3 linked regions of the Danio rerio genome follow. Each later gene encodes a partner of the first gene's protein in a complex. Links are inferred from orthologs where the notes say so. Each region holds a gene or a part of one and is shown on either strand. Other genes may lie near its edges.

Evidence for each region. The genes of interacting proteins can lie anywhere in the genome.
Region 2: nup58 (region 1) and nup93 share a complex: the UniProt entries of both Homo sapiens proteins name them as parts of the p62 complex. The link is inferred for Danio rerio from reciprocal best matches to the Homo sapiens genes NUP58 and NUP93.
Region 3: nup58 (region 1) and nup62l share a complex: the UniProt entries of both Homo sapiens proteins name them as parts of the p62 complex. The link is inferred for Danio rerio from reciprocal best matches to the Homo sapiens genes NUP58 and NUP62.

What each region holds. Positions count from the first base shown.
Region 1 is NC_133199.1:28,984,865-28,988,521, reverse strand, and holds part of nup58 (nucleoporin p58/p45), read left to right. Parts: intron 1-51; coding exon 52-324; intron 325-441; coding exon 442-604; intron 605-682; coding exon 683-748; intron 749-2,451; coding exon 2,452-2,626; intron 2,627-2,711; coding exon 2,712-2,791; intron 2,792-2,876; coding exon 2,877-2,995; intron 2,996-3,078; coding exon 3,079-3,161; intron 3,162-3,657. UniProt on the Homo sapiens protein: Component of the nuclear pore complex, a complex required for the trafficking across the nuclear membrane.
Region 2 is NC_133193.1:18,957,370-18,961,026, forward strand, and holds part of nup93 (nuclear pore complex protein Nup93), read left to right. Parts: intron 1-2,681; coding exon 2,682-2,799; intron 2,800-3,657. UniProt on the Homo sapiens protein: Plays a role in the nuclear pore complex (NPC) assembly and/or maintenance. May anchor nucleoporins, but not NUP153 and TPR, to the NPC. During renal development, regulates podocyte migration and proliferation through SMAD4 signaling.
Region 3 is NC_133189.1:11,218,689-11,222,345, reverse strand, and holds the end of nup62l (nucleoporin 62 like), read right to left. Parts: intron 3,303-3,657; coding exon 3,168-3,302; intron 853-3,167; coding exon 741-852; intron 658-740; coding exon 591-657; intron 497-590; coding exon 405-496; 3' UTR 308-404; downstream 1-307. UniProt on the Homo sapiens protein: Essential component of the nuclear pore complex. The N-terminal is probably involved in nucleocytoplasmic transport.

The DNA.
Region 1 (3,657 bases):
CAGCTTATCTGAAAGCCAATTCAAAACTCTTGTCTTTTTGCCTGTTCATAGGGAGTCTTACCACCTCGACCGCTGCTTCCACTGGCTTCAGTTTGGGCTTTGGAAAGCCAGCGGCCTCAGCTACACCTTTCTCTCTAACCACCACCACCGCCTCTGCACCTGCGGCAACAGGCCTCTCTCTGGGATCCGTCCTCACCTCCACAGTTCCTCAGACCAGCTCCACTGGCTTTTCCCTCAACTTAGGAGCAGCAGCAGCCACTTCCTCTGCTCCTGCATCAGGTTTCTCCTTTGGATCAAGTCTTTTCTCCAACCCCACTCTTACAGGTCAGCCTTTTTTTCCTTTGTGATAGTTGAATTCATTTTAACTTGTCATTAATTTATGCATGGATTAACTAGTGATTAATTGACTTGTGTTTTTGCTTATTTTAATGTGTGTTTCAGGTTTGGGACAGTCCACTTTAGGTGGACCTTTGAGTCTGGGCGGTTTAGTCTCTACCTCTGTCGCAACCACCTCAGCTCCTGCTCCCAGTCTCGGCCTGGGTGGAGTAGACTTCAGTACTTCCTCTGAAAAGAACACAGACAAGTTGTCCAGCACCAGACCTGAGTAAGAACCACACCACTGTTACCTCTGACTCGTTAGTGTTTATTGTATTTGTTCTTACTCTTATGTTAATGTCTACAGGGACAGTAAAGCCCTTAAAGATGAAAACCTGCCAGCTCCGATCTGTCAAGATGTGGACAATTTTCAGTAAGTGAACAACTTTCAGCATTAGGGTGGAGCAGTAACCTGTGAAGCTAATTCATTACTAGACAAAATTAGGTCTTGCCCATATTAAGGGGTGTGCAATATTTATCATCAACAATAATAGTTGTTATTTTAATTTGCAAGCTGACATGGGGTCAAAAAAATACATTCACATTTTTAGAATTAATTATCATTTATTGTGTGATGAAGCTAATTAACTGCTGTGAATGACACTATAATTCAATTAGTGAAAACCAAAAAATACCCCTATATAGTTATTGGGTTTTTAATGGCATGTTGTAATGGCGTACAAGCCAGAATTGCCATTTTCAGGAACATCCAACGCATGAGCTTGAACAAAAATGTTAAGTCAATTTTATTCAGTAGTTAAGCAGAAAAATATGCTAATTAGGCATGGAATGATTATCGGTTTCAAGGTTTAGAGCAGTTTGGGAAAAGTCAAGGTTTTAAAACCACAAAAATTTTATGTTATACCATTCCTATGGTATATGAAAGTTTTTTTTTTTTTAGTTTTTTTTTTAGCATGTTTGTTATGACACCCTACTGGTCAGCTTATTGATTCAGCAAACATCTGAAAAACAAATCTTTTATAAACCAACATCTAAGTATGCTATAGACCTGAACACTGCAGTGGCTTACTGTACTGTTAGGGCTTGGCGATATGGCAAAAATGCAGTCTTGATAATTGTTTTCCATATTGAACAATAGCGATATATATTTCGATACAAGTTGTTAATGCTTCCAGATTTAAGAGAGTACCCCAACAATGACTGAAGCTGCAAAACTAGAGGGTCCATTAAATGGCATAATTTTTCAGCCAATACATTTTCGGTGTGCAAAAATTCGTTACATCTCTAATATCAACACACTTTTAGATTCCCATTGTTCCATGTTTCTGCTGTGTGATTGGCTCTTAGATCAATATAGAGTAAAAAGTCCAGAACTTATTGTTATGGACAATTTATCACGATTCGATAAAATATCGATTATCTGCCCATAGCTACTTATTGTATATGCAAAGAACAGAAGTCAATAATTTATTTTAATTATTTAGCCTAACATGTTTCCTGTTCAAAATATTTGAAATGTTTCTTAAAATACAATATATTGTTCAATAAGGGAAATGTGTGTTTTTTTTTTCACCCATACAGATAAAAAAAGGCATTTTGTAGAGCAGTAATCACGATACCGTGAAACCATGATATTTTTATCCAAGGTTGTCATACTGTCAAAATCTTACACCGACCCTTTCCTTAATGATAATATTGAGTTACTTTACAGACACAATATTAAATCCTTTTTTTCAGTCTTGCCAATAAAGGGTGGATATAATCAAAGCCATAGAAGAACCCTTGTGCGTCTCATTTGTTTTTAAACAAAAATTTGAGTCAGTGATTTAATGATTGGCTGCATCACAAACACTGTAGTTGGTGAAAAGCAGTATTTGACAAAGAATTATGTTAGAATCGAAAAGATTGTGATAAATATACTAGTGACACCTTTGTTAATGAAGAAAATCCAGGTTATGTTCAAATTTGTTCCTACTCTTCTATTGTTTTTTTTTTGTGGTTACAAAGTGATTATCCAAAATAATTATATAATCCATGTGCAAATTAATTAAAATGTGAATGTATCAGATGTCTTTTTTTTGTCTTTGACTAACTACGTGCCTGATTTTACCATAGGAAATTTGTCAAGGAACAGAAGCAAGTCCAGGAGGAGATTAGCAGAATGTCCTCTAAACCCATTCTCAAAGTTCAAGAGGACATCAAGATGCTCAGACAGCTCCTGTCCGTCTGTGCCAGCGGGCTGCAGAGAAATTCCCTCTCCATAGATAAATTAAAGCTGGAAACTTCTCAGGTAAGACCAAACATGTCTTTTGGACCATCTTCATTACTTCCCAGAGTATTGTTCAGTCTTGTAATCTGTCTTTTTTTTCATTCAGGAATTGAAAAATGCTGATATTGCGCTTCGCACCCAGAAGACCCCGCCTGGACTCCAACATGAAAACACAGCACCATCAGAGTGAGTGTGAACTTGTGCGCTATTACTTCCATTTAAAGCAGTTAGTAATTGATGGCACTAATGTGCACTCCATCTTTCCTTCCAGCTATTTCCGGGCACTGGTGGAGCAGTTTGAGGTGCAGTTACAGCAGTACCGTCAGCAGATTGAAGAACTGGAGAATCATCTGACCACTCAGGGCAGTGGCTCCCACATCACCCCTCAAGGTTTGTTATACCAGACTGAACAAAGCACTGTCATGTGTTAGCTCTGATATCCACTTAACTTTATGATATCCTCTGTCATGTAGATTTGTCGATGGCTATGCAGAAGCTATACCAGACATTTGTTGCGCTTGCTGCTCAGTTGCAGGGAGTTCATGAGAATGTTAAAGTAAGTTTTGAACTCATTTTTTGTTGCATTGTAAATGTTGTTGTTTTTTAATCCGTTATTAATGAGATTATAAATGAGAGTCAAATTAGGCATTGGCTGGTATAAGATTCTGACGGTATGATAATCTTGGATAAAAATATCACGGTGTTCAGCAGAACAAAAAAGTTCAACTGAATTTGAACAATAAATGCATTCGAGTATATTTTAATGCACTAAATCTTTAAATCAGGGGTGGCCAAACTTCGCCCTGGAGGGCCGGTGTCCTACAGATTACAGATACACCTGTAAAGATGTTTCTAGAAAGCTTTATAAGAGCTTGATTACCTAACCCAGGTGTGTCTGATTGGGGTTGGAACTGAACTTTGCAGGACACCGGCTCTCCAGGACTGAGTTTCGACACCCCATTTTAAATGATAAATATTTCTGACCTCAGTTTAAATGAACTGATGCATTAAGCACAATACATAAAAATTTCTTTATAAAATTAAGGAAAGTT
Region 2 (3,657 bases), on another chromosome or scaffold:
TCAAATTCATGCTTTACTGTGTATTGTTCATTAGTAAATGCATTAACTAATACAACCTTATTGTAAAGTGTTACCAGTATTTCTAAACATTAAAAAAAAAATTATGACTAAACTGACTATTTACGACTATTATTTATGACTAAATCTAACAATTATGAATTATTAAAATGTGTTATGAGTTTCAACATTCTATTCAAGTTTCAAAATTTCAACTGAAAGTATTAGTTGACCCAAAAATCTAAATTCCGTTATTAATTACTCATCCTCATGTCATTCCAGTCTCCACCCTTTAATCATTTTTGAAGAACAAGTTAAGATTCATTCATTTTCTTTTCGCCTTAGTCCCTTTATTAATCTGGTCTCGCCACAGCGGAATAAATTATCCAGCATATGTTTTTTGCAGCGAATGCCCTTCCAGCTGCAACCCCTCACTGGAAAACATCCATACACACACAATTACACACATACACTACGGGCAATTTAGCTTACCGAATTCACCTATACAATATGTCTTTGGACTTGTGGGGGAAACCGAAGCACCTTGAGCAAACCCACGTGAACACGAGGAGAACATGCAAACTCCATACAGAATCGCCAACTGACCCAGCCGGGGCTCGAACCAGCGACCTTCTTGCTGTTAGGCGATCGTGCTATCCACTGACGCCCTACAAATTGAGATATTTTAGATTAAATAAAAGAGCGGTCTGAAGCTCCATTTACAGCAAAGGTTGTGCAATGTTTAAAGTCCAGAAATGGAAGCAAAAACATACAAATCATGCAAAGATATGGGGAATACAAAATCTAATACTAATACGTCATATTGCACCATGCACCCTAATGACCAGACCAGAGAAGACACTGGCTAACAAAGTTGTGTTTACAGTTTTGTGACACACAACAGTGTTCTTGGATCTTCATATGATTACAGTTGAAGCATTAAAGTCATATGGAGTGTTAGACAATGTTTTTGACTCCTTTTCTGGACTTTCAACATTGCTGTCTATGGAAGATGAAGGAGCTCTCGGATTTAATCTCAAATCTGTTTGTATTTATATTGCACTATTTTTACTTTCTACCTTCCAATGGAGAGTTATATCTTCCAGTCATGACTTTATATCACCCAATAGTGACTTTGTGTCTTCCAGTTGCTATATCCCGTTTTCAATAGTGACTTAACATCTTACTAAAATTCTTCCAGTTTGGAAGACTTTTGTTCGTCTCCCCGTTGCTATTTTGTATCACCCAAGAGCAACTTTGTATTGACCATATTCTTCACATATGAGCGGGTGCTGCCATTGGAATGTTTTTGGCTCAAGACTTCCGGTTTCATTCACTTCTGTAGATTTTTAGATGTTAATAACAGCTTGTTATGCTGCTTAATGTTGCAAACTGATTTTTTCATTTTATATTATTTTACTTTGTGATGCAGTGGGTAGTGTTGTCGCCTCACAGCAAGAACGTCGCTGGTTCGAGCCTCGGCTGGTTCAGTTGGCATTTCTGTGTGGAGTTTGCATGTTCTCCCCTTTTCACGTGGGTTTTCTCTGGGTGCTCCGGTTGCCCCCACAGTCCAAAAACATGCGGTACAGGTGAATTGGGTAGGCTAAATTGTCCTTAGTGTATGAATGTGAATGAGAGCGTTAAAACGTGCTGGATAAGTTGGAGGTTCATTCCGCTGTGGCGACCCCGGATTAATAAAGGGACACTATGCCGAAAAGAAAATGAATGAATTATTTTACTTTTTATGTTTAGTCATGAACACATTTGTTTTGTAGAGCAAGCAGTTTGATAGTTTTCTGCCGTTTATTATTCCTAGTCATTTCTCCCATAGGCAAATGAATCGAAGCTCTAAAACAATAGCATAAATAAGTTGGAAAAAAAGAAAAAAATTACACTTTTGTATTGCAGAAGGTGGTCAATATTGTATTTGCAACTGTATACCTCCAGTAGTGACTTTATGTCTCCCAGTAGCTACTATATATCTCCCATTTGCTGTCATTTATATCTTCTAATAGTGACCTTTGTATCTCCCAGTTGTGACTTTACATTTCCCGTTTGCAACTGTTTGTATCTCTCTATTGTGGCTATCACTACTGTGACTTCTACATTATATCTCTTAGTTGTCTCTTAATAGTTAAAAGTTGTGACTTTGTATCTTCAAGCAGCTTATGCAGTATATTTCTCTTTAATGACTTTACATCTTTTGTATAAATTGCAATTTAATATCACTCAATTGAAAATCTTCCAATTGTGACTCCAAATCTCTCAGTTGTTTCAACTTCTTCACTATTGCCTTTTTATTTATCAGCGTTGCATACATGTCTCTGTTAAAGCTTTATGTCTTTCAGCTTTCTCCCAAGTGCAACTTTGTCGTCCAGTTACGGCTTTGTTTTCTTCTAAACAAATTTGTCTCTCTTTCACCTCAAATCTTTCTTTTGGGGAATTTTGTTTGGCCTCATTTGTAAGCCTCTTTGGAATAAATTAAATGTAAATGTGATTGTGATTTACATCTTTATATTATGCTTTGCGACTTCTCTTATTTAAAGCAATATCTCGCAATTACCTTTTTACCCCGAGGTAAACTAGTCATCATTTTAAAAAAGTTACATCGTGTGGATTTTTTTGAGTGTTTAGGCTGTAGTTACATTAAAGCCCAATGGTATCTTGTATTTGTTTGCTAACAGGTACCGTGCTAATGGTGTAGCTGGAGAGAAGTCAGTGGACAACACCTTCTACCTTTTGCTGGACCTCATGACGTTCTTTGATGAGTATCATGCCGGACACATTGACCGAGCCTATGATGTAAGTCACCATTAAAGGTCCTGTAAAGTGCTTTGTAATGTGCATTTTAATTCATGAAGAGAGGGTGGGACAGTGTAGCTCCTCCTCTTAAAAAAAAAACAGCCAATAGTGTTCCCATACTGATAAACTTCTGGTGACCTGTTATTGTGAGTTTTTTCCATTTTATACGGTTCCTTTCACAGCATCGATGTTGTAATGTAATTCAAATACAATCAGTTAAACAGACTTAGGCATTCATTTAGTTGCTCAAGCCTAAAACGAGACAAAAAGCTGTTTACTCGCATGCGCCCGTCAGAATCGGCAGGCGAGCGCAGAAGCTCCATTGAATATATTGAGGTAAAATAAATGCTCATATTATAAAGACATGGCAGGGAAAATGTAATTTAATGCAGTGTTTCTTGTACAATCTGAGACCTACTTTATATCGGATTTCATTCACCCTGTGGAGATCGCTGATTTGTAAAGAAAACAGACTTAAAATGCTCCGATTTTGTCGGCGCAATAGCCTAGTGGTTAGCGTGCCGACATATGGTGCAATAGCACGTCAGGGGGTCGCGAGTTCGAATCTCGGCTCGACGACATTTCCCTACCAACCCACCCTCTTTCTCTCCCACCTCGCTTCCTGTCTCAATGCTGTCCTATCTAATAAAGGCAAAAAAAAAAACGCACCGATTTTGCATTGGCATACAGTTCACCGGAATCGCTTAACCCAGGTTACTTGCAAACTAAAAGTCCTATTAGGATGCTTCAGCATATACCCTTTTAAAAGCAAATGAGAAGGTATTAAAGGGGGTGGGGCATGTCAGACACTAGAGATCATTTAAATAGTCATGATATGATGAGAACTAAAGTATTACA
Region 3 (3,657 bases), on another chromosome or scaffold:
TACCTGCAGATGTCGGTGGTCATCTCGTCGCCTTCATATACCTGCAGCTTTCTCTAAAAGTAATGCTCGCAACTGCTTGTATATACGTTTATTTTTTATTTGCTCGACGTAGTCGCAGGAATGCTTGATATTAAACAATGCCAGGATCCATGTTGCTATGGTGGAGCTCCATCCAGCTGATTGGCTCGTTTCATCCCATAACCGTAAAGCAGGAAAAGAAAAGCCTTGCTCTGTAGATTTGTTCGTTTTAGATCTTTAAAATGACTCCAGATTTTGGAGAATTGACAATCAATACAAATACATAAACTAAGAGGAAACCAAGCTAATTTTATTTTGAAGCAAATATCAAAAACAAAGACGTTCATTACATCTGACTGAAGAAAAAACAACATGATTATGCATGATCACTGGAAGTTTAAACGAAAGCTCTTCTCTTGCTCCTTGCTGCGGCTCTCACACAACTTTGAGACCTCCTCCACTCGCCTCTGAAGTAAAACTGCACATAAGCAAAATGTATGCAAAGGATTCAATGAAACATTCCAAAAAAGACTGTGTAGCGAAATATGTATCGAATTTAAGTGGATACTGACCTGAATTTTGCTCCACCCATTGTAAGGAGTCCATGTGTGCATTGAGAATTTTGCAGATCTGCTGAAGCTGGAAAAAAAAGACACCACAAGTCAGTCTTGGTCCAGGTAACAGCATTGATTTTTTACAAATATAGATTATATTGTGCATACCGGGTCAGCAGTGTCAGCGGGTCCACTGGAGGTGTTGAGGTGTTCAATAATCTCTTTTAGATCTTGGGACATTCTTTTGAGTTGAGCATCCACATTTTCAGCCAACTTGTACCTGGATAAAAGATTATTAGTATTTGAAGAAAACGTGAGCTTCTGACAGGGTTGATTGACACTACATTTACACTTTTTTTGTTCATTTAAACTTTTGTTTTGATTATGTCTGGCATCCACATAACTCCAGAGTACATGTAGACAGATCGGAACTTATGACAATGAAGCTGTTTACATTCACTCCCTAATTAGGTCTTCTGGATTTCAATTAAATATCAATTCAAGACCCTGAGGGCGAGTTAAACTTTATGTGATAAGCCTCAAGTTCAAGGAAGTGGTTTAAAATCAATAAAGTAGATTCTGTAGAAAATTTTAAAATATCAACATGGTTTTTTTTACTGTGTGTACAAACATTTAAAAGTAAATCCCAATATAGTTTAAATGTTTTACATTTACCAGTATATATAATTAAAAGCTTCTTTTCTATTAAAATATTTGGTTTGCTAAACCTTTTAAAACAAATATATAAATCTCAAATGAGAGGTTAGTTTAGCTTTAAACACAACCACCGGCCACTTTATAAGGTATACCTTACTAGTAGTGGACTGGCCCCCTTTTTGCCTTTAAAACTGCTGTAATCCTTAGTAGCATAGATTCAACAAGGTCCTGGAAATATTCCTCAGAGAATTTGGTCCATATTGACATGATAGCATCATGCAGTTGCTGCAGATTTGTCAGCTGCACATCCATGATGCAATTCTCTTGTTCCACCACATCCCAAAGGTGTTCTACTGGATTGAGAGCTGGTAATTGTGGAGGCCATTTGAGTACATTGAACACATTGACCTCAATGTCATGTTCAAGAAACCAGTCTGAGATGATTCACACTTTATGACATGCCGTGTTATCCTGCTGGAAGTAACCATCAGAAGATGGGTACACTGTGGTCATAAAAGGAAGGACATGGTCAGCAACAATACTCAGGGAGCCTGTGGCGTTGACACGATGCCTAAATTTTTACTAATGGGCTCAAAGTGTGTCAAGAAAATGTCCCCCACACCTTTACACCACCAGCAGCCTGAATCGTTCATACAATGCAGGATGAATCGATGTTTTCATGTTGTTGACACCAAATTCTGACCCTACCATTTGAATGTTGCAGCAAAAATTGAGACTCATCAGACCAGGCAACGATTTTCTAATCTTTTGTTGTCCAATTTTGGTGAGTGAATTGTAGCCTTTCCCGTTCTTTGCTGACAGGAGAGGCAACCAGTGTGGTCTTCCGCTGCTGTAGCCCATCTGCCTCAAAGTTCAACGTGTTGTGTGTTCAGAGATGCTCTTCTCCATACCTCGGTTGTAAAGAGTGGTTATTTGAGTTGCTGTTGCCTTTGTATAAGCTTCAACAAGGCATTTGTGCCCACAGAACTGCTGCTCACTGGATATTTTCTCTTTTTTGGACCATTTTATGAAACCCTGAAGATGGTTGTCCATGAAAATCTCAGTAGATCAGCAGCTTCTGGAATACTCAGAACAGCCTGTCTGGCACCAACAACCATGTCACATTCAAAGTCACTAAAATCCCCTTTCTTCCCCATTCTGATGCTTGATTTAAACTGCAGCAGATCACCTTGACCATGTCTAAATGCCTAAATGCATTGAGTTGCTGCCATGTGTTTAGTTGATTAGAAATTTGAGTTATTGAACAGTTGGACAAGTATACCTAATAAAGTGGCCGGTGAGTGTTTATCCGGGCACATGTTTGTGCCTACTATACAAACTAGACTAGTAAATATTGTTTTAATTTGTTTGTTTTAATTGTATATGACAATACATTTTTGTAGTTTTTAGATTATTACCCTGTTATTTATAATAATAATAATATTAATTACTGCCAACTTAAATGTGCATTTTTCGCTTGACAGAATTTCATAATATGCAAATGTTGTTTGTAATGAATACTTTAATTTAAATTTAATTTTATAACTATAAATACAATCTTTTACTACAATAAGAGTTAGTATATTTTCAGATTATTTAGAGGGTTCTTCTTAATACAGTTAACTTTAAGGGTTACTGCTAATTAAACCTGAATTTTTTCTCTTAATGCGCTTTAAAACTATGTGTTTAAAATGATTTACAATTTGTAGTGAATATGATTGTATATAGGCTACAATATTGTATTACAATTTTAGATCTAATTTTAGCTTCTGCCATGTGTTTTTAGTTGGTTAATTTAGTGTGGATGAAGATCTTTTCTGAAATCTCATGAAAAAGCCAATCTGACACTGATTGTTTTCATTTTAAAACAAACATTATGTTAAAATGAAAACACAGCCGGGTAAAAGTGGCCAGACATCTGCCAGTTTATGTTCTTACGTTCTTTCTCGTTCTTCATCTGCATTCTGCATGTATATGGTTCCACTTTGCTCCTTCACGGACTCCTCTAACGGACTAAGAAGATCCTCCAGCTCTTTCTGCTGGGAAAGGATAAAGTCCAGTTCTTGATCCAGCCTGTGGGAAAAACACAGAAATGTTTTTAACAGTAAGATTACAGCATCTAACAGCAATACAAGCTGTCTGGTTAAGTCCTCCATGAAGACACTGATCATGGTAATGATTTCTCACAATAGTTGTCAACAATGATTTAACAAGGTAGGAAACTAAGTAATATCAATATGCAACACTTCCATAAATCTCTGCAAGTATTAACATTTTCAAATGATTACTTCTCCAATATTTTCACTAGCCACTAACAATTTTAGACAAATCATGCACTACAATGTACCATGTTGGTACAGAGGATCAATTGTGTAACTAAATCAACTTTCAGATTTTACTGAAATTTTCATCAAATTGACAGCATTTT